Saccharomyces cerevisiae S288C: one gene and its partners. Changing the gene in region 1 together with any one later gene gives a genetic interaction. Each region holds a gene or a part of one and is shown in the gene's direction. Other genes may lie near its edges. The genes, in order: YPL039W, CST6, APT2 and MRS3.

What was found.
Region 2: mutations in YPL039W (region 1) and CST6 together harm fitness more than expected from each alone (negative genetic interaction), as found in Saccharomyces cerevisiae (one large-scale study listed by BioGRID).
Region 3: mutations in YPL039W (region 1) and APT2 together harm fitness less than expected from each alone (positive genetic interaction), as found in Saccharomyces cerevisiae (one large-scale study listed by BioGRID).
Region 4: mutations in YPL039W (region 1) and MRS3 together harm fitness more than expected from each alone (negative genetic interaction), as found in Saccharomyces cerevisiae (one large-scale study listed by BioGRID).

What each region holds. Positions count from the first base shown.
Region 1 is NC_001148.4:476,396-481,829, forward strand, and holds YPL039W (uncharacterized protein), read left to right. Parts: upstream 1-2,829; coding exon 2,830-3,780; downstream 3,781-5,434. Other genes in the region: isoleucine--tRNA ligase ISM1, read right to left, coding at 1-2,606; YPL038W-A (uncharacterized protein), read left to right, coding at 3,787-3,978; MET31 (Met31p), read left to right, coding at 4,140-4,673; EGD1 (Egd1p), read right to left, coding at 5,033-5,434.
Region 2 is NC_001141.2:282,951-287,929, forward strand, and holds CST6 (Cst6p), read left to right. Parts: upstream 1-2,715; coding exon 2,716-4,479; downstream 4,480-4,979. Other genes in the region: pheromone-regulated protein PRM2, read right to left, coding at 79-2,049; casein kinase 2 catalytic subunit CKA1, read right to left, coding at 4,840-4,979. UniProt on the Saccharomyces cerevisiae protein: Transcriptional activator of promoters containing ATF/CREB sites. Can independently stimulate transcription through ATF/CREB sites. Important for a variety of biological functions including growth on non-optimal carbon sources.
Region 3 is NC_001136.10:1,343,168-1,348,287, reverse strand, and holds APT2 (adenine phosphoribosyltransferase APT2), read left to right. Parts: upstream 1-3,225; coding exon 3,226-3,771; downstream 3,772-5,120. Other genes in the region: SSN2 (Ssn2p), read left to right, coding at 1-2,612; histone methyltransferase DOT1, read right to left, coding at 4,047-5,120. UniProt on the Saccharomyces cerevisiae protein: Catalyzes a salvage reaction resulting in the formation of AMP, that is energically less costly than de novo synthesis. May lack catalytic activity.
Region 4 is NC_001142.9:158,001-163,130, forward strand, and holds MRS3 (Fe(2+) transporter), read left to right. Parts: upstream 1-2,618; coding exon 2,619-3,563; downstream 3,564-5,130. Other genes in the region: sphinganine kinase LCB3, read left to right, coding at 188-1,417; DPI8 (Dpi8p), read right to left, coding at 1,623-1,847; YJL132W (uncharacterized protein), read left to right, coding at 3,914-5,130. UniProt on the Saccharomyces cerevisiae protein: MRS3 suppresses a mitochondrial splice defect in the first intron of the COB gene. It may act as a carrier, exerting its suppressor activity via modulation of solute concentrations in the mitochondrion (possibly of cations).

The sequences.
Region 1 (5,434 bases):
CCACGCATCGGATTAATGTCTATATGTTCTTGTCCTTGTAACCATCCTTCTGGTATATACTTCCATACTTCTTGGACCATAACGGGTAATATTGGTGCAAGAATTGCCCTATATGCATTTAGTATATGGACAAGCGTTGTTTGGACCTGCCTTCTTGCCAATGACGATATTTGGTTGGAATATAAAATATCCTTTGAGATATCAAAATAAAACGCCGATAGCTCGTTATTTAAATGATATTGTAGAGTAATGAGAACCTTGGAAAAGTTGTACTTTTGGTAGTGTTCTCTCGTCGTTTCCAGCAGTTCGTTTATCTTATACAAGGTATATTGATCAACACGGCGTAATTGTTCAATCGGCAAAAGGTTGAAATCTTGGGACTTCTGTAAATTACTCAATAAATAGCGAAAAGTTAGTCTAACCTTTTTTAGAGCTTCTCCTACATGTTTCATCACAGTCGGGCCAGCAACTATATCAGTTGTGAAATTCGATTGTGCTATCAGATACCTCAAGCCATCAACACCCAAAGCTGGTAAGCCTAAGTTTTCATCGCCTCGAATTATTGCTTCGGGAGAAATTGTATTTCCCACAGATTTTGACATTTTCAGACCATTCTCATCTAGGGTAAAACCATGAGTAATCACTTCTTCATATGGTGCAACAGGGACATTACTTGATGCTACTTTTGTTAGCAGTGAACTTTGAAACCATCCTCTATGTTGATCAGATCCTTCTAGACAAACTTGGTACAGGGGGGATGGGAGTTTTGACAACTTTAAGCTTTTTTCATAAAAGTCTTTGATCACACTCCATGACGACCCACTATCAAACCACACATCCATAGTATCTTGAGAACGACAGTATTCATGCGCTACGTCGTGATATTTTTCTGGCAACCATTCTTTCATGTCATTATCTTTATCGTTAAACCATGCATTAATTCCTTTTTGTTTGATTTTTTCTATGGCATGTGCCAAAATTTCTGAATTCATCAAAACAGAATCCGGTTCGCTCTTCTTGTAAAAGCTTAATATAGGGATACCCCATGAGCGTTGCCTAGATATGCACCATTCATTTCTGCTTTTCATAAAGGATGAAAGTCTTGAATAGCCTCTTTTAGGACAAAACTTGACGCGGCTGATGCTTTCCAGAGCCAAGTTTTTTACATCGTGTAAATCTGCAAACCACTGTGGAGTAGCTCTTATTATGACAGGTTTCTTGGATCTCCAGTCGTACGGATAAGAATGCGTGTATTCGTGAGATTTGTAAAGTAAATTAAGGTCGCTTAACTTACATAGAATGATTTTCGCGGTTTCGGCATCCAATACTTGCCTACCTTTTGTTAAGTCTCCTTCATCTCTCACGATGGATCTGACGGACTGAGGAAGTTCATTTAATTGGTAGCGGCCCTGGTGATCCACGGGAGAATAAATTTCAAGACCATTTTGAATACCAATGAGATAGTCATCCTGTCCATGCCCTGGTGCTGTATGAACCAATCCAGTCCCTGTACCGCTGGTAACGTGTGCACCATGTAATAAGGGCCTGCCAACCTTATCGTCTACTAAGAGGTTTTGATAATATAGCCCATTTAGATGAGTTCCTTGAAACTGTTTGATAGTCTCAAATGAGTTAGTTGTTAGGCCCAATTTATCAATGGAGCCGGTCTCTACAAGGATAAGTTCACTATTTAAGCGTAATAGGGAGTAGGAAAAATCCTGATTGAAACAGATTGCTCGATTAGAGAGAAGAGTCCATGGAGTACTGGTCCAAATCAAACAGTATATAGGCAAGTTATTCGTTATTCCTAGTTTTTTGCACAGATCCATCTGGGATTTCTTTTCAAGAGGAAATTTAACATAAGCAGCGATGGATTTATGGTTTTCATTATATTCTAATTCGCCCTCTGCTAACGCTGTTCTAGTTTCTGTACCCCAGTAAACCGGTTTGTTCTGTCTCTTAATCAGTCCTCTTTCGTACATTTCTTTAAAAATATTTAGCTGATTAATTTCATAGTCTTTATCCATTGTTAGGTATGGTGTTTCCCAGTCCGTTAAGATGGCAAAATGTTGGAAAGTTTCCCTTTGCCTCTTGATTGCCTTTTGTGCATGTTTTAAAGCCATTGACCTGATTTTTAAAGGCGATATTGACTCGATCTGTTGCGCGCTTAAATCTTTCAAAGCTTTAATCTCGATGGGTAGTCCATGACAATCCCAGCCAGGCTTATAAAAAATGTACTTCCCCTGTGAAAGTTGATATCTGTTTATGATATCTTTCAGAATTTTATTTAGAGCATGACCGAGATGGAGCTCGCCGTTGGCATAGGGCGGTCCATCATGTAAGATGAACAACTTTTCTTTAATGAACTCTAATTTTTCATCAGTCGTATTAAGCTTTGAAAATTCTTCGAAGAAATCACGTAGCTGCTCCTTGTAAACTAACTGCGAAGATTTTGGTATTAATTCCCTCAATGTAATCTCTAAGTTTGATCTATTAGGGAATTTGGTCTTGGGCAAGTTTAATGTTTTTTGGTAGGCATGTTTGGCGAGATATCGCTTGCTAATAATGCTAAAGATATGTTGAGGCACAAGCCTGGAGCGCTTCATAAGTAGCTAAAGATCGTTCTTAGTATACTGTGTTCCATAACTTCTAGCCTTGGTCCTTTATATTTGCTGTTTTTCTGCGTTTCTTAACTCGCTTGCGGAAAAAGAATCGACATTTTCAGAACAGGATTTTATTGTTTTTAAAGTACATTATATGGGGCGACACATCATCGCCATCTATGTTAAATATTTAAAGAATACGGGGTAGAATTATTCACGCTGGGGGATGCTGAAAGAGGAGTATAATTTGAGCGGTGCTGATAACATGGCATCTGCTGAGTTGTCATTTAAAAAGCAAAAAGTGGTATTGAAAAAGTTCATGATAGCGCAAGTGACTAAGGGGATTATGCAGCGGTATGCGAGCCTATTAGTTACCATGCCTAGTGATGATGACAATGCAATTATTGGCACAAATCATTTGAAAACAACCAAATTTTTAGAAATAATCCTACACAGAGCCAAATCATCGCATTTACAGTTCAAAAAGGTCTGTTGCATTGTCATCAAGTTTCTAGATTGCTGCTCGAAGGAAACTAACTACATGAAGTTTTTAAAGTTCAGCTTACACAAACTATTTGTAGCTGCTTTCATCTTAAGTGTGCCAAATGTTGTAGGCGATGACCGCGACAGGATTACCACGAGGGATGAAACCTATCATCTCTATTCCCAGATAACAGGCTTGCCACTGGAAGAAGTGATAAATTGTTGTTCTATTGTGAGGCCTGTACTTATTCGGCGGAGTAGACAACAACGCAGGCAAATGTTATCTCGACGTGAACAACATTCGTACTTCCTCAGAAGTTCTTTTATGAACTCCAATTCATCAGCATCACCTTTTTTCTCTACCAATAGGTCAGCTGATGATCTACATGTACATACAAGGGCATACTCGCTTCATAGCCATTCCGATGGGGAAGGCCAAGATAGGCGGTCGGAACATGAAGAAACGCATAGCATGGGGGCTGATGCCGATACATATCGACAAACTACGTTTATCCCAGACACACCAAATGGTTTGCATTCTAGATCATTAATTGAGTGTGGGATCGAACCCACCCAAGTAAGTGACTCTGGTGAATGGTCGGGTCAAAGTAACGGATATGTTTTGGTGACAGAATTACAGGAGTTTAACAAAATGGGTAAAAAGTTAGTACAAGAAGCTTTTAGGATAGTTTAATAAAGTATGGTTTGTCGTTTTGTTCATCATTCAAGGGTCATTTTTATTTCCATTTATGATTTCTTGAGTACAAAAGGCAAAAAAAACATGTATAATTATACACAAGAAAAAAAAACAAAACAAAAGAACACTTTCACACAAGCAAGTATATATTATGAGAATTTTTTCGAGTCTTACAGAACCATATCTTGCCTCTAAATTTTAGTCTAAAAATTTTGCTAGCCCATCAATTTTTTTTTTGTTCTAATGCAAAATATAACATGGGTAAGAAAAAGAAAAAGCCGTTCCTCAGTACGTAAAGAGATTTGATCATTAACAAGTTGGGCTCAATATACACAGTCGATAGTCTATATGTGCATATGAAACTGGCGCAAGACATGAATGTAGATGAAATATTTCTCAAACAAGCGGCAGAAGCTATAGCGGTAATCTCATCAAGTCCCACTCATACGGACCCCATAATACGAGAGCTACTCCACAGAATTCGACAATCCAGCCCATTGAGCGCAGTTATACCAGCACCAGAAAATGTTTTAAAGGCTGGGGAGCCGGAAAATATGGCTAGAGGTCTTATAAGGATTCCAGAAACACAAACAAAAAGAACAGGAGGTAACAACCATAGCAAGGAAGGCGCACAGCTCTACAGCTGTGCGAAATGTCAGTTGAAATTCAGCAGAAGTTCTGATCTGAGAAGACATGAAAAGGTACACTCACTCGTGCTGCCGCATATTTGCTCAAACTGTGGCAAAGGGTTTGCCAGGAAGGATGCTCTAAAAAGACATTCTAACACACTGACCTGTCAAAGAAACAGAAAGAAACTAAGTGAAGGTTCAGACGTTGATGTAGATGAGCTCATCAAGGATGCGATAAAGAATGGTACCGGCCTGTTGTAAGGCTAGAGGAAAACGTATTTGTCTCCATCAGCACACCTACACATACATATATAGATAGATATATACTTTAGCCATTGAGATAAGTAGAATAAAAAAACGTTGTAATATTCCGATACAGTTAGTGACATGTTCTCTACTTTTGCCAATTTTTTGCGCACAAAGTGGTGACGTACAAGTTCATCATTTCACGTGTGCAGCATAGTGTGGTATATTGTTTTTTTATATTTTATTTTTTATTTTTTTTTTTTTGCAGAAAACAGTGTTTGTATTATATGCTTTAGATATGCTAAAAAAAATGAAAAAAAATGGAACAAAATATGTGTTTTTTTATTTAACGTTAAAATTAAAGATTAAGTTATTTATTCGACGTCAGCATCAAAAGTTTGACCTTCAACTAACTCTGGAATAGCTTCATCCTTCTTTTCAGCATCAGCTGGAGCCTTGGCTTCGTGCTTTTCCATTTGGGCAGCCAATTGAGACAAGGCTTGGATGGCTTCAGGGCCCAATTGAGAGATAATACCTGGGAACAAATCTTGCAAGTTCTTTTCCTGTGGTAGACCGTAGAATACAGAAGTGTTGTGTTGAGCAGCAACTTGGACACCGACCTTGTTGAAGTGCATGACCTTACCGTCGTCCTTGAAAAAGTTGGCTTCGGCGACGTTGTCAATGGTGACAGCGTGCAACTTAGCTAATTGACTTTGCAACTTGGTGTCATCCTTGTTGGCACCGGCAGAAGAGCCTGCCTTCTTGTTAAGCTTTCT
Region 2 (4,979 bases), on another chromosome or scaffold:
AATCAAGGTATCTTTCACAAGTTTTTCACTCAGCGAAAATTGCGAGACCGCTCGTGGAAGGTGACGATAATACGATACTTACAACTTTAATATTATAAATATAAGCATGTGGTGGAACAATATAGTCAGGCAAACTGCTAAAAGTCCCCACTTATAAACAGTGTGTAAAAAGTACGTTTGTTTTTGCTCCTTATCCTTTATTTGGCGTTTTGACAGTGAAGACAATGCCGCTACCGATGCGTTGGTTATATTAATTCCTCGATTAATTATACCATATTTTTGAATGTCCAGTGCAAATGAAGAATTTGTATTCGTAACTTCGTATGTCGGTAGGAAATACTGACCCAGGAACTCATTAATTGAATCGCTGCCTAACAGAGGCTCAACCTGCAGGTCTATCCCCTGCCAATTTTGAGAACTCTCATTAAGATATTTTTCAAACTGAGTGTTTGTGTCGTTAACCCAAAGATTTAGGATGTCCGTTGATTGCACTTTCAAATTGGGGTCAGTTTGAAGGCTTAAATTTGCTGTAATGAACTTTTCATTCACTTCCATTTGGAAATTTTCACACAATAATGATACGCTGTCATTAATGAAACCCTCTATCGTAGTTGTTATATTTCCATCTGTCCAAACTTCCCTTTTGTATAGCGAAGGTCCCGCTCTTTTGTGGAATGTAGGCAAACTGGGTACTTCAAAGTTTGTTAATCGCGTCACTATCTGCCAATGAATTAATAACATCAAAAAACCAAACAGCCACAGGTGAGCCCCATTTGAGATTATCCACCAGTTACAGTAAAATAGTTTTGATTTTTTGACTTTTTTGTCATCGATTTTTTCTGGTTCTCTTTTAAATATTTTTTGATTGATAAGCTTTGTTAATTGGTAGGGAATTGGATAAAGTGTACTGAGATTCAGAGTAGTAATTAAGCTTTTCAAAACTTTGTTGTATTTAGTAAAATTGGTTTGTCCTGTCAGGCCATTAATTTGGGACATAACCAGGTTTACTTGCTGATTTTCCAGCTGAAACAGAATTCTTTCGATTGCCATGAGCAAAATCACAAATGCAAAGTACATGACTGTGAAAATTATTGTCATTCTCTTACATTTACGGAAAACGTGATTTTTTACTGCACTTAGTACACTGTTTTCCTCGCTATTTGTTTTCAGAGACCGTTTAATTATTGAAGTAGACGATGTAACCTCGGTACTCCCCCCAGATAAAATGGAAATTTCATTCTGTAAGTTTGCAGTAAAGTTCCTTTTCAACTGAAGCCAGTCAGTGGAATTTCGTAGAAAATTCAAACTTAAGGTACTAGAGGTATCTAATTGAGTAGAAAAGTCAGTGATAGTGCCATTGAAGTTCTGCAATGATTTCAATTTCCTTGAGTAGTTCCCAAAAATACTGTCAAACATGGAGTAATTTAACAGTAGGTTTGATGCCATTTGTGAAATGGAATCCTTATCAATGGTCATTGCGTCTTCTGATATTTCATTCCATGTGTCATTTATCAGCTGTGATTTAGTGAGTAGTTCGTTAAAAATTGTATTGTTTACCTCAAGAACTTCCTTAATCAATTCAGTTTCCAAACTTATTTGGTCGTTGATAAGTTTTTGTTTATTATCCAGTATGTCGTCTGTGTATGACTTGAATTTTTCTTGCATATCCGTACCTACCGTAGATTCAATACTCCGTAGTTTGCTTTCGAAATACTGATCAATTGTATTATCAATGAATGTTTTATTTAAAGAGTAACTGTTGGCAGAATATATGGCATGCTGTGTTGTGACTGCTGTCATTGTGGCCGTTGTTGTGGCCGTTGTTGTGGCTGTCGCTGTAGCAGTTGAAATAGATGCAAAGGTTGAGACGGTATCATTTCGTTTGACCTGTGCGTGAGACATTTTTGCCATTGTAATGTCAATGACTGAAAAGGAACCCCAAATAGTTAAAATAACAGAAGTAAAGAATATCAGTAATAGAGGATGGAAAATACAACTAAAAAACCTCTGTGGAAGTGATAAAGGTTTAATTATGTGTACATTGTTCATCTTTGCCGTACTCTTAGTTTTATCGAAAAGTGGTGTAGATTTTCAGCTACTTAAGCCATGTTAGTGTTCTAGTTTTTTGCTTTACATGTTATATAAAGGGCCAAGATAGCATATGTAAATGTTTTATTACTGGGCTGAAACATTTTTAAAACATTTTTCAATAATGTGCTGTTATAACCGTACAAGGACGGTTATAATTCTGAATTAAAATGCTGCACCGAATGAAAATACCAATGTTCTTCCAAACCTATTGGCGAAAATTAAGATAAGCTGTCGCCTCTATAATCAAGAATAATCTCAACTATTATAAATATTATTCCCAGAAGTTGAAATTGTGACACATTTGAGTAATATCACCTTACACGGAACATAGTTGCCCCCTTCTCCGAAATTGCTGACAATGATAATCGGGGATTCAATGACAATGACAATGAAGGCAAAAGATTTTCATATTGTACTCTTGTTTTTTGAGTTATCACTTTCAAGTACCTTCTTGTTAACAGAAATAGAACCGCTATAGAGGTTATCGTGTATACGTATCTGTTGGTGTTTCTAAATCAAAAACTCGCTTTTAAAGCAGTCTTTCAATTGGAAGATTCAAAAGGATCTAAAAAGATCTAAAGTAGTAAAGAAAAAAGTATAAGCCCACACCTTTTTGGTAGGATAATGTTTACTGGTCAGGAGTATCATTCCGTAGACTCTAATTCCAACAAGCAAAAAGACAACAATAAACGTGGTATTGATGACACATCAAAGATCTTGAATAATAAGATACCGCACTCTGTTAGTGATACTTCTGCCGCCGCCACCACCACTTCTACTATGAACAATTCTGCTTTAAGTAGATCCTTAGATCCTACTGACATAAACTATAGCACAAATATGGCTGGTGTGGTTGACCAAATACATGATTATACTACTTCCAATAGAAATTCTTTAACCCCACAATATTCTATTGCAGCTGGAAACGTCAATTCGCATGATCGGGTTGTTAAACCCAGCGCCAATTCAAACTATCAGCAGGCTGCATACCTTCGACAACAGCAACAGCAGGATCAGCGACAACAGTCACCCTCTATGAAAACTGAAGAGGAATCCCAACTCTACGGTGATATTCTGATGAATTCTGGTGTCGTACAGGATATGCATCAGAATCTGGCCACTCATACAAATCTGAGCCAACTGTCGTCTACCCGTAAGTCCGCTCCGAATGATTCTACTACAGCCCCGACTAATGCGTCCAACATCGCCAATACGGCTTCTGTGAACAAGCAGATGTATTTCATGAACATGAATATGAATAACAACCCACATGCCTTGAACGATCCATCCATCCTGGAAACATTGTCGCCATTTTTTCAACCTTTTGGTGTTGATGTAGCACATTTACCTATGACGAATCCACCAATTTTCCAAAGTTCTTTGCCTGGATGCGATGAGCCAATTAGAAGAAGAAGAATATCAATCTCTAACGGTCAAATAAGCCAGCTAGGCGAAGATATTGAAACTTTGGAAAACCTGCACAACACACAGCCGCCCCCGATGCCCAATTTTCACAATTATAATGGTCTGAGCCAAACTAGGAATGTATCAAACAAGCCGGTCTTCAACCAAGCAGTGCCGGTTAGTAGTATTCCACAATACAATGCAAAAAAAGTTATTAATCCCACGAAGGACTCCGCATTGGGTGATCAGAGCGTTATTTACTCGAAAAGTCAGCAGCGAAATTTTGTAAACGCGCCATCAAAGAATACTCCAGCGGAGAGTATAAGTGATTTGGAAGGCATGACGACGTTTGCGCCAACTACTGGAGGTGAAAATAGGGGCAAATCTGCACTTAGGGAATCTCACTCTAATCCTAGCTTCACTCCAAAATCTCAAGGATCTCATTTAAATTTAGCGGCGAACACACAGGGAAATCCAATCCCTGGTACTACGGCATGGAAGAGAGCAAGATTGTTAGAAAGAAATCGAATTGCAGCTTCGAAATGTAGACAAAGGAAAAAGGTTGCGCAGCTGCAGCTCCAAAAGGAATTTAACGAAATTAAAGACGAGAATAGAATTTTACTGAAAAAGTTAAATTACTATGAAAAACTAATCTCTAAATTCAAGAAATTCTCCAAAATTCATTTACGTGAACATGAAAAACTAAATAAAGACTCAGATAATAATGTTAATGGCACTAATAGTAGCAACAAAAATGAAAGCATGACTGTGGATTCATTAAAGATCATTGAAGAACTTTTAATGATCGATTCAGACGTTACAGAAGTGGATAAAGATACTGGTAAGATCATAGCCATCAAGCACGAGCCATACTCTCAACGTTTCGGAAGCGATACTGACGATGACGATATAGATCTCAAGCCCGTAGAAGGTGGTAAGGATCCAGACAACCAATCATTACCCAATTCTGAAAAGATAAAATAACAAAGTTTTGGTGAGCACAACGGTGTTTCATTCAAGAATGATAAGGACAACTATATATGTAATATACGTGTATAAATACTCGAGCTGCATCCTTTCTTTTCTGCCGTTATTATTTCGTTTAGTTACTACATTTATGGTATAAATTACCTTTAAGACATTATTATTTTGCATGTATGAAATTTGCTCGTGTCAACCCCTTAGTCCTCCTTGCCTCTGTTGTATGGAGGAAGCCCTTTAAACCTGTATTTAGTTTTTTAAATCTATTAGAATTAAGTACAATTGTACAGATGGTAAAAAAAAGTAATCGTTATATCGTTTGTCAGTGATTTTTTTTTTTTTATTTCATTCATTATTTATTTCTTATTTTTCAATTTGTTCCCTTATTGGGGCAAACCACGGGTGTCCCATCGCTTCCTTAGCAGTTAATCTTTCTTGATGATCATATCTCAAAAGATTGTCAATAAGGTCAATAATTTCATCGTTGCCGCTTAAATGTTTAT
Region 3 (5,120 bases), on another chromosome or scaffold:
CCTCATCTGAAAAACCGAATATCCGTACGATGAGCGGAACTACAAAAAGATTAAATGGAAAGAGGAAATATTTGGATATTCCGATAGATGAAATGACCTTGCCAACGAGTCCATTATATATGGACCCAGGTGCGCCACTCCCTGTGGAAACACCCCGCGATAGACGCAAAAGTGTGTTCGCTCCACTGAATTTTAACCCCATAATAGAAAACAATGTTGATAACAAATACAAATCTGGAGGGAAATTTTCCTTCAGTCCGTTGCAAAAGGAGGAAGCATTAAACTTTGATATTTCTATGGCGGATCTTTCTAGCTCTGAAGAGGAAGAGGATGAAGAAGAGAACGGTAGCAGCGATGAGGATCTAAAGTCATTGAACGTACGCGACGACATGAAACCTTCTGATAACATCAGTACTAATACTAATATTCATGAGCCTCAATACATAAATTACTCTTCGATCCCAAGTCTACAAGACTCTATTATAAAGCAAGAAAATTTCAATTCAGTAAACGATGCTAATATCACTAGCAATAAGGAAGGCTTCAACTCTATTTGGAAAATTCCTCAAAATGATATACCACAGACCGAGTCACCACTGAAGACCGTTGATTCATCTATTCAACCCATAGAATCCAATATAAAGATGACCTTGGAAGATAATAATGTTACCAGTAATCCGTCCGAATTTACGCCGAATATGGTAAATTCTGAAATTTCTAACCTACCAAAAGACAAGAGTGGTATCCCCGAATTCACACCGGCGGACCCCAATTTATCTTTTGAATCATCAAGTAGTCTACCGTTTCTATTGAGACACATGCCGCTAGCATCTATACCGGACATTTTCATCACGCCTACTCCCGTTGTTACAATTTCAGAAAAAGAACAAGACATCTTAGATTTAATTGCAGAACAAGTCGTCACTGATTATAATATCTTAGGAAACCTCGGTATTCCAAAGATCGCCTATAGGGGAGTTAAAGATTGCCAAGAAGGTTTAATAACAACCACAATGTTACAGTTATTTTCCACTTTCGATAGATTAAATGGCAATGATACGATCTCCAAATTCTATAACATGAAGCAGCCGTACGTTTTTGTAAAGAAACATCACGAACTAATCAAAGTCAAACACGACTCTCAGCCATTTATTAAGTTCCTCAATTTTCGCCCTCCAAATGGAATAAAAAACTTCAAATCCTTATTATTAAGTTCATCTTTCAAAGAAGATTGTCTGTCATTTGCGCCAACTCTATCTCAAACATATATTAATCAAGAGTTAGGGTTTTGTGAGTTGCTTAAACTAACTAATGAAGACCCGCCCGGACTGATGTACTTGAAGGCATTTGATAAAAACAAGTTACTGTTGTTAGCTGCGCAGATTGTTTCATACTGTTCTAATAATAAGAACTCCATCAAAAACGTGCCACCAATATTAATAATTTTACCCTTGGATAATGCAACTCTGACTGAATTAGTAGACAAGGCGAATATTTTTCAGGTGATCAAGAACGAAGTTTGTGCCAAGATGCCTAACATTGAACTATATTTGAAAGTTATTCCTATGGATTTCATTAGAAACGTACTGGTGACAGTGGATCAGTACGTCAACGTAGCAATTTCTATATATAACATGCTGCCGCCAAAATCTGTAAAGTTCACCCACATTGCGCATACGCTGCCGGAGAAAGTGAATTTCAGAACCATGCAGCAACAGCAAATGCAACAGCAACAGCAACAGCAACAGCAGCAGCAGAATAACAGTACAGGATCATCTTCTATAATATATTATGACTCGTACATCCACCTGGCATACTCGCGTAGTGTAGATAAAGAGTGGGTTTTTGCAGCTCTTTCAGATAGCTATGGACAAGGCAGCATGACGAAAACGTGGTACGTCGGGAATTCCAGAGGAAAATTTGACGACGCATGTAATCAAATATGGAATATCGCCCTAAATTTAGCGTCTAAAAAATTCGGAAAAATATGTCTAATTTTAACTAGATTGAATGGCATACTGCCGGATGATGAATTGATGAATTGGAGGAGACTTTCTGGTAGGAATATACATCTTGCTGTGGTGTGTGTGGATGACAACTCTAAAATCTCCTTCATAGATGAGGACAAATTGTACCCTAGTTTCAAGCCGATCTACAAAGACACTAGGTTTGGAGGACGCATGGATATGACCAGATTATACGACTATGAAATAAGGGATATAGACCAGGACATCCATGGAATAGTATTTCAGCACCCGTTCCCACTGGCACACTCACAGCATCGCTGTGCTATTAGGAGTGGTGCTTTGATCAAATTCAAAAAATGCGACGGTGATACGGTTTGGGACAAATTCGCAGTCAACCTTTTAAACTGTCCACATTCTGATAGTACACAATTGCTGGAAACCATCTTAGAAGAGTTTCGCAACCTGGCTGCTCTAAACGTGTGGTACGGTCTCTCTGATGGCGAAGATGGCCATATTCCATGGCATATCCTAGCCGTGAAAAAAATGATGAACACTCTTGTGCACACCAGAGTAAAAATTGCTAATACTTCCGCCGCTACTGTGCATACCGCTACTTCTTCATCAATTATTCTCTCGGATAAATAAACTTTTTCCGGCAACGTTTTCCTGCTCATCTGTAGCCCTATTTACCAGTTTTGGTTTTAGTATTATTCCGGGGTGTAAACCCAGAAGTCTATTTCTCCAGTCGGATTTATAAAAACAAAACCGGAAGCGGGGCGGTACGGCATTTTCACTGGTGATGCACGCCCAGCGTGTAGTCCGAGACAATTTCCACAGAACGCGAATGAGATTGCGTTTAAGGCTGTATTTTCAAGGCACACGAAGCGGCCACGTGGGTCTGCGATGGTGTGTTGATGATGTCAAGAATGGTATCATACTCCGTATAAGGTTATGTAATCGGAAGTCGCGATTCTTTTTCAATTTTTTCTTTTTATTTTTTTCCAGTTTTTTCGTCTCTGCGATGGAAAATTGTTGAAGTTCTCTTGATTAGCAAGTAGTTCTTACATCGCAGGAATCTTATGTTGCATAGCTCAATTTACAAAAATAACAAGGATAAATATATATATATACGCATATACTTTTTGGGTGTTAAAGTAAATTTTGCACCCGTTCATACCAATCGTTCAGATAATTTTCGCTCCTTAAAAAAAGAGAGTGCGTGTGTATATGCCTGTTCATTGCCTGTCCGCCTCTCATTATGTCTATTTCTGAATCTTACGCAAAGGAAATAAAAACTGCATTTAGGCAGTTCACTGACTTTCCCATAGAGGGTGAGCAATTTGAGGATTTTTTACCTATTATTGGCAACCCCACGCTATTCCAAAAGTTGGTACACACGTTCAAGACGCATTTAGAAGAAAAGTTCGGCAAAGAAAAGATCGACTTTATTGCAGGTATAGAAGCTAGAGGCCTTCTATTTGGGCCATCCCTAGCACTGGCATTGGGAGTTGGATTTGTTCCAATAAGGAGAGTTGGAAAATTGCCGGGTGAGTGTGCTTCTATAACATTCACAAAATTAGACCATGAAGAAATTTTTGAAATGCAGGTTGAAGCCATTCCCTTTGATTCCAACGTGGTTGTCGTGGATGATGTTCTCGCCACCGGTGGAACGGCATATGCTGCGGGCGACCTTATCAGACAAGTGGGTGCTCATATTCTGGAATATGACTTTGTGCTAGTGTTAGATAGTCTACATGGTGAGGAGAAATTATCTGCTCCTATTTTTTCCATATTGCACTCCTGATTTAAATTTGTTCTCTGCCTCCTCCTTCAATTATTTTCCTTTCCTTCGCATATTGCTACTTTTTAGCTTGAACTTCTTTTGTTAATATAAACTGGTACTTTACTTTTTAGGTACCTGGTCCACGGCGCCTTATCCTTCTTTTAATTCATATTATTACCTACTCTTATTCTCTCCCTTTCTATTTTTTTATTTTTTGATTTTTATAAGTTACACTTGTGTACATGTTATTTCTACTTAGTTATTCATACTCATCGTTAAAAGCCGTTCAAAGTGCCTCATCTGGTATACTTCACCGGCGTACCTCTGTTCCTCCTACCTCTTGCAGCAGGGCTGAATAAACTTTCGTCCACATCCTCCATCACTGTTGATATATAATACTCTCCGCCACTATGCGTCCATGAAACACTATCCTCCTTAAGATCATACCTTTGCACCTTTAATCTATTGAAGATGTTCTCAACATTGTAGAAGTTGATCTGATAAGTGAGGCTTCTTAAACTTTTCAAACTTATGATCTTACATCCAACTTTTGCCGTTTGTAGTATCTTTTCGACTTTTTTATTCAAATCTTCATCAAATAAAAAATTATTTACGAGGATAACATCGCACTGAGGAATTAGTTCAGCGACCCTGTTATTGTCCACAAAGCTTTTCTTCAATGAAAACTCCACGTTGTTCAAACGCATCCCATATAACTTACACCTCTTCTTTAGTTCCTCGTACTGCAGTATAGTTAAATCGCTAGCATCATCCATGATTTCACATCCGAAGCTTAATGCACATCCACATTCCAACGCAGCTTGTACTACGCAATTACCTACTCCCGAACCGAGATCCATGAAAGTGTCACCCTTCTTCAACTGGCATTGTTGATATACATCAGATAGGAAATTGGGCAAAAGTTCTCCATAAACATAATTGCTGAATGCTTTGTAATGTTTCAATTTATTCGCCTGCGGATGGATACTCCTGGTATAGACGATATGCAAGAAGTCATGAATGAATGAACGAGGAATTTTATCAATTGTTTCTAAATGGTCAATTATTCTTTGCCTAGGAATTTCACGAATCATTTTGTTGTATAAATTTATAGCATTCACGAAACCTTTCGTGTCAGAGTTATCAAATGATGCATTTAGGTCCGGTAGTATAGTTTCCTTCAATTGTTCAGCATAAGGTGAAGGTAAAAAGACCAGGCAGCTGTATTCAATTAATTTACCAATTTCACTCATTGGATTATAAATGGCTGTTGACCTTTTGAAGTCGACTTTGTACTCTTCCATATAATTTGAAAATAAAATACTCTGCAACTTTGCTGTCGTTACTGAGGAAGTGTCGTTATCTGATGT
Region 4 (5,130 bases), on another chromosome or scaffold:
ATCATGTGACTGAACTACGCTTGGCTGTTTTGTTTTTCCCTCACCTTGCGCTAAAGTTGTCGTCACATTATAAGGGCAGTAAGAAAAAGCAGAGTTTAAGAAAGTTTGTTTACATACAACCATCACGTAGAGGAAATTCTTCAAACCTACCAGACCAGCGGACACAAGCCATTTGTATAGATAAAAAATGGTAGATGGACTGAATACCTCGAACATTAGGAAAAGAGCCAGGACTCTCTCTAACCCCAATGACTTTCAAGAGCCTAATTACTTGCTGGATCCCGGTAATCATCCCTCAGATCATTTTCGAACTCGAATGTCCAAATTTCGGTTTAATATTAGAGAGAAGCTGTTAGTGTTTACCAACAATCAATCATTCACATTAAGCCGCTGGCAAAAGAAGTACCGTTCTGCGTTTAATGATCTCTACTTTACTTATACTTCCTTAATGGGATCGCATACCTTCTATGTTCTGTGTTTACCTATGCCCGTGTGGTTTGGATATTTTGAAACAACAAAAGATATGGTTTATATCTTGGGATATTCTATCTACTTGAGTGGTTTTTTTAAAGATTACTGGTGCTTGCCCAGGCCTAGAGCACCTCCATTACATCGAATTACGTTAAGTGAATATACAACGAAGGAATATGGTGCTCCAAGCTCCCATACAGCAAATGCAACAGGAGTGAGTCTCTTGTTTCTCTACAACATCTGGAGGATGCAAGAATCTTCTGTCATGGTCCAACTATTGTTGTCATGTGTGGTTTTATTTTATTATATGACTTTGGTTTTCGGTAGAATATACTGTGGGATGCATGGCATATTAGATTTAGTAAGCGGTGGGCTCATTGGAATAGTGTGTTTCATTGTTAGGATGTATTTCAAGTACAGGTTTCCGGGTTTACGCATTGAGGAGCATTGGTGGTTTCCTTTGTTTAGTGTGGGATGGGGTCTTCTTCTTTTGTTTAAACATGTTAAGCCCGTAGACGAATGTCCTTGCTTCCAAGATAGTGTTGCGTTCATGGGCGTTGTGTCAGGTATTGAATGCTGTGATTGGTTGGGCAAAGTGTTTGGAGTCACCCTGGTGTACAATTTGGAACCTAACTGTGGCTGGCGGTTAACCTTAGCCAGGCTGCTGGTGGGCCTACCGTGCGTTGTTATCTGGAAGTACGTGATCAGCAAACCGATGATCTACACGTTATTGATCAAAGTTTTCCATCTGAAGGATGACAGAAACGTTGCGGCAAGAAAAAGACTGGAGGCCACGCACAAAGAAGGTGCAAGCAAGTACGAATGTCCATTATATATTGGAGAGCCCAAGATTGACATTCTAGGTAGATTTATTATCTATGCTGGCGTTCCATTCACCGTTGTAATGTGCAGCCCCGTCCTATTTTCCCTCTTAAATATAGCATAAAACAAAAGGAACAAAAAAAAAAAAATAGACAAAATGTAGTGTAAATGTATCCGTTTCTAAATTAAGTACTTATAAAAAAATATGTAACTGAAAAAGTCATGTTGTATAAAAATTTGAGGCACCGTACCAGGACCCCAAAAGAAGAATAGGTTAAAGTCATCATCATTAATAAACCAGGAAAGAAAAGAGCATAATTAAGATACGCCTACAACTTTGGCGCGTGAGCCAAGTGTCTTCTGGTAGCTAGTGAGGCACTCAAGGGACCATATGTCTTGGCATTTTCTCTATATTCCTTAAAAGAGTTGAACGAGTTGCCCGGAGATCTCTTGAAAATAGTGCTGGCCATGGCGCTAGCGGCTATCCTTGAGACACCCGCGGAGGCGGCTGAAGAAGAGACGGCGGCGGCTAATCTGGTACTTTGGGCGATCATTTAATACGTTTATTTACTGTCTTATGAATGTAATATTTAAACTTGTGCGTAATCATTAAAACAAAGGTGAAAAATCACATTAAACATCTCCCTACATTACTTTCGGTTTATTCTTTTATATGTGTGAAACTTTCTCTCTGCACCAGGAAGTGGTCATGCTTGATGCTCGGCTCCCACCGGAAAAACTAACTTGCGGGCGGGAAATTGATCCCTGAAGTCATGCCCCTCACCTTCATTCGTGGATCTTATCTCCAGAGCAACCAAATGTGGAAATGGCATGACACCCCCCCACACACGTTCCGCCCACTTTTTTTCAAATGTGTGACACACCCATACCCCATAATGTTGCACGTGACAGGTTTGTATCACGTGCTTCTTAGGGTTTTGTTTTAGGTCTGAGACATTTTAGGGTTTTTTTTCATCAAGTCTAGATCGTTTGTAACGAACGATTGCTCCTTTTTTCTTTTTTTTTTGCTTTTTTTTTATACTCACCGTTTACTGTCATTATGTCTCTCGAGAAACTGGGCGTGTGTGCTAACCAAGACTGGATCACCTTTACATAGCACTTATTGCATTTCTTGGTGTTTCGTACCCTACAATTGACAAAAGTAATTTTGTCGTTCATTTCTTCATCGATTCTTTCCTCTTTCAACAACTTCCTTATTTTATCTTGGGATCGTAACTTCACTTAATTAATCACGATTCCCATATTCGTTAACACCTCTTAAGGTTTGCTGTAAATATATTTATGTTATAAAAAAAGAAGATATTATGGTAGAAAACTCGTCGAGTAATAATTCAACAAGGCCAATTCCAGCAATACCTATGGATCTACCCGATTATGAGGCGCTCCCCACCCACGCGCCATTGTACCATCAACTTATAGCGGGTGCATTTGCTGGTATAATGGAACATTCAGTGATGTTCCCGATAGATGCCCTTAAGACGCGAATACAATCAGCCAACGCGAAATCGCTGTCTGCCAAGAATATGCTTTCGCAAATATCTCACATCTCTACTTCCGAAGGAACTCTAGCCCTATGGAAGGGTGTTCAGTCTGTCATACTAGGTGCGGGACCTGCGCATGCAGTGTATTTTGGTACGTATGAGTTCTGCAAAAAAAATCTTATCGATTCGAGTGATACGCAAACGCACCATCCTTTTAAGACAGCTATCAGTGGTGCCTGTGCCACCACGGCATCTGACGCATTAATGAACCCATTCGACACAATAAAACAGAGAATCCAACTCAATACCTCGGCATCAGTATGGCAAACCACAAAGCAGATTTACCAATCTGAAGGTTTGGCAGCATTTTATTATTCTTACCCAACCACCCTAGTAATGAACATCCCATTTGCAGCATTTAATTTCGTCATATATGAATCATCCACAAAATTTTTAAACCCATCAAATGAGTACAACCCCCTCATACATTGTCTGTGTGGCAGTATCAGCGGATCGACATGTGCGGCGATCACAACACCTTTAGACTGCATAAAGACAGTACTGCAGATAAGGGGCAGTCAAACAGTTTCGTTGGAAATTATGAGAAAGGCGGATACTTTTAGTAAAGCAGCCAGTGCCATATATCAAGTTTATGGCTGGAAAGGGTTTTGGAGAGGTTGGAAACCAAGGATAGTGGCAAACATGCCGGCTACTGCTATATCATGGACAGCTTATGAATGTGCAAAACATTTCCTAATGACGTATTAGTTGGTTCTTACATGTCATATTATTTTCCATTCATTTTGCATCTCAGAAGATTATGTGTATATTATCATTTTCCTGTTGTGACTTTATGTACATTTATATATACAAATTTAATTTGATAATCCCAAAGCTTGAGCTCTTTCCCTCAACGAAAAGTTTTCATTTTTTCTTCATTACTTTATATATCTATGTTTAGTATACCCAAAGGGTATTTCGGACGCAGGCAAGCTGCCATTATTTATAGCGGAAACTCTAAGAGTGGTAAATCTATTTCTAAAAAAAAAAAAGATTCATTCAAGCGCCCTCCTTGGTTAGTTAGTTAGAAACATGTATTCAGAGGGAATTAAATAAAGATGAGTATAATTAGTTCTTGGTTACTTGTCTCTATTATTTGCTTAACTACTTCTATTGTAACAAAATTGCAAGCTGCTGGAGTTACTACCCATCTATTTTATTTAACAAGAGGTGCTCCCTTAAGTTTAAAGGAAAACTATTATCCTTGGTTGAAAGCTGGTTCTTTCTTTCCGGATGCTTTGTACTCATGTGCACCTTCAAATAAGGATTGGTCTGATTTTGCAGAATTCACTCATTGGCCCAATTTCTTAATGATTGCAGTATCTTATTGGCAGCAAAAGTATGGTCAGAACGATCGACTTCGGGGAACTCACGGCTCACTCGCACTAAAGTCATTTTTAATAGGGGTATTCACTCATCAGATAGTTGATGTTTCCTGGCATTCGTTAGTTACCGATTATAGAATGCACGGACTACTCCGAGTTCTCAGCGAAACAGAATTTGATGGAGATATTGAAACTGCTCATACGTTTTTAGACGTTATGGGTGAATTCCTCACCTTAAATAATGTAATCCGTGACAGTAATAATAACGAAAATTGGGATTTTTTAACTCGCTCTGATTGGAAATTGCCCAGAGAAGAGGATTTAATGGAAATTATAAGGAACGCTGGACTTTCAAAGGAAAAGTTGTCCTACGCAGAACTGGAATTTTGCGTTAAAAGAGGAATGGCAGCGGCTATTAGTGAAGGGTACCTATTCCGCTCTCAAAGAAACCAATTGTTAACTAATATTTACTCAACATCCCCCAGGGCTAATGATCTAATACTGAATCATTGGCTAGGAGGGCAGTCCAATTTGGTTGCAATGCTCCAAAGATGCGTGCCTTTCTTCGAGACTTTGTTTCATGACGAGAATACTAATGAAGCTCAAGCAGAAGAACTGAGATTATGTGCTAATTTACCGCCAGTATCACAAAAACGGATAAATGCACGACCTTTGGTCTCTTCATTAAAAGCACGTAAGGGAAATAGCCACATTGTCGTATCTCCCATGAAATCATTTTCCGATTTTGGCACAAGCCTGACTATGGGAAAATTTCGAGAAGACAACAAGGATTATCTCGCTGTAAGTGCACCACTTGAAGACACAGTTGGTGCAATCTATATAGTTCCATGGGATATTCTAACTGTAGCAAGAAAAGAGGATTTTAGCATTTTACAACCCATCACTGCCATGTACGGTTCAAAGGTCGGGACATACAAGGCAAGTGATGT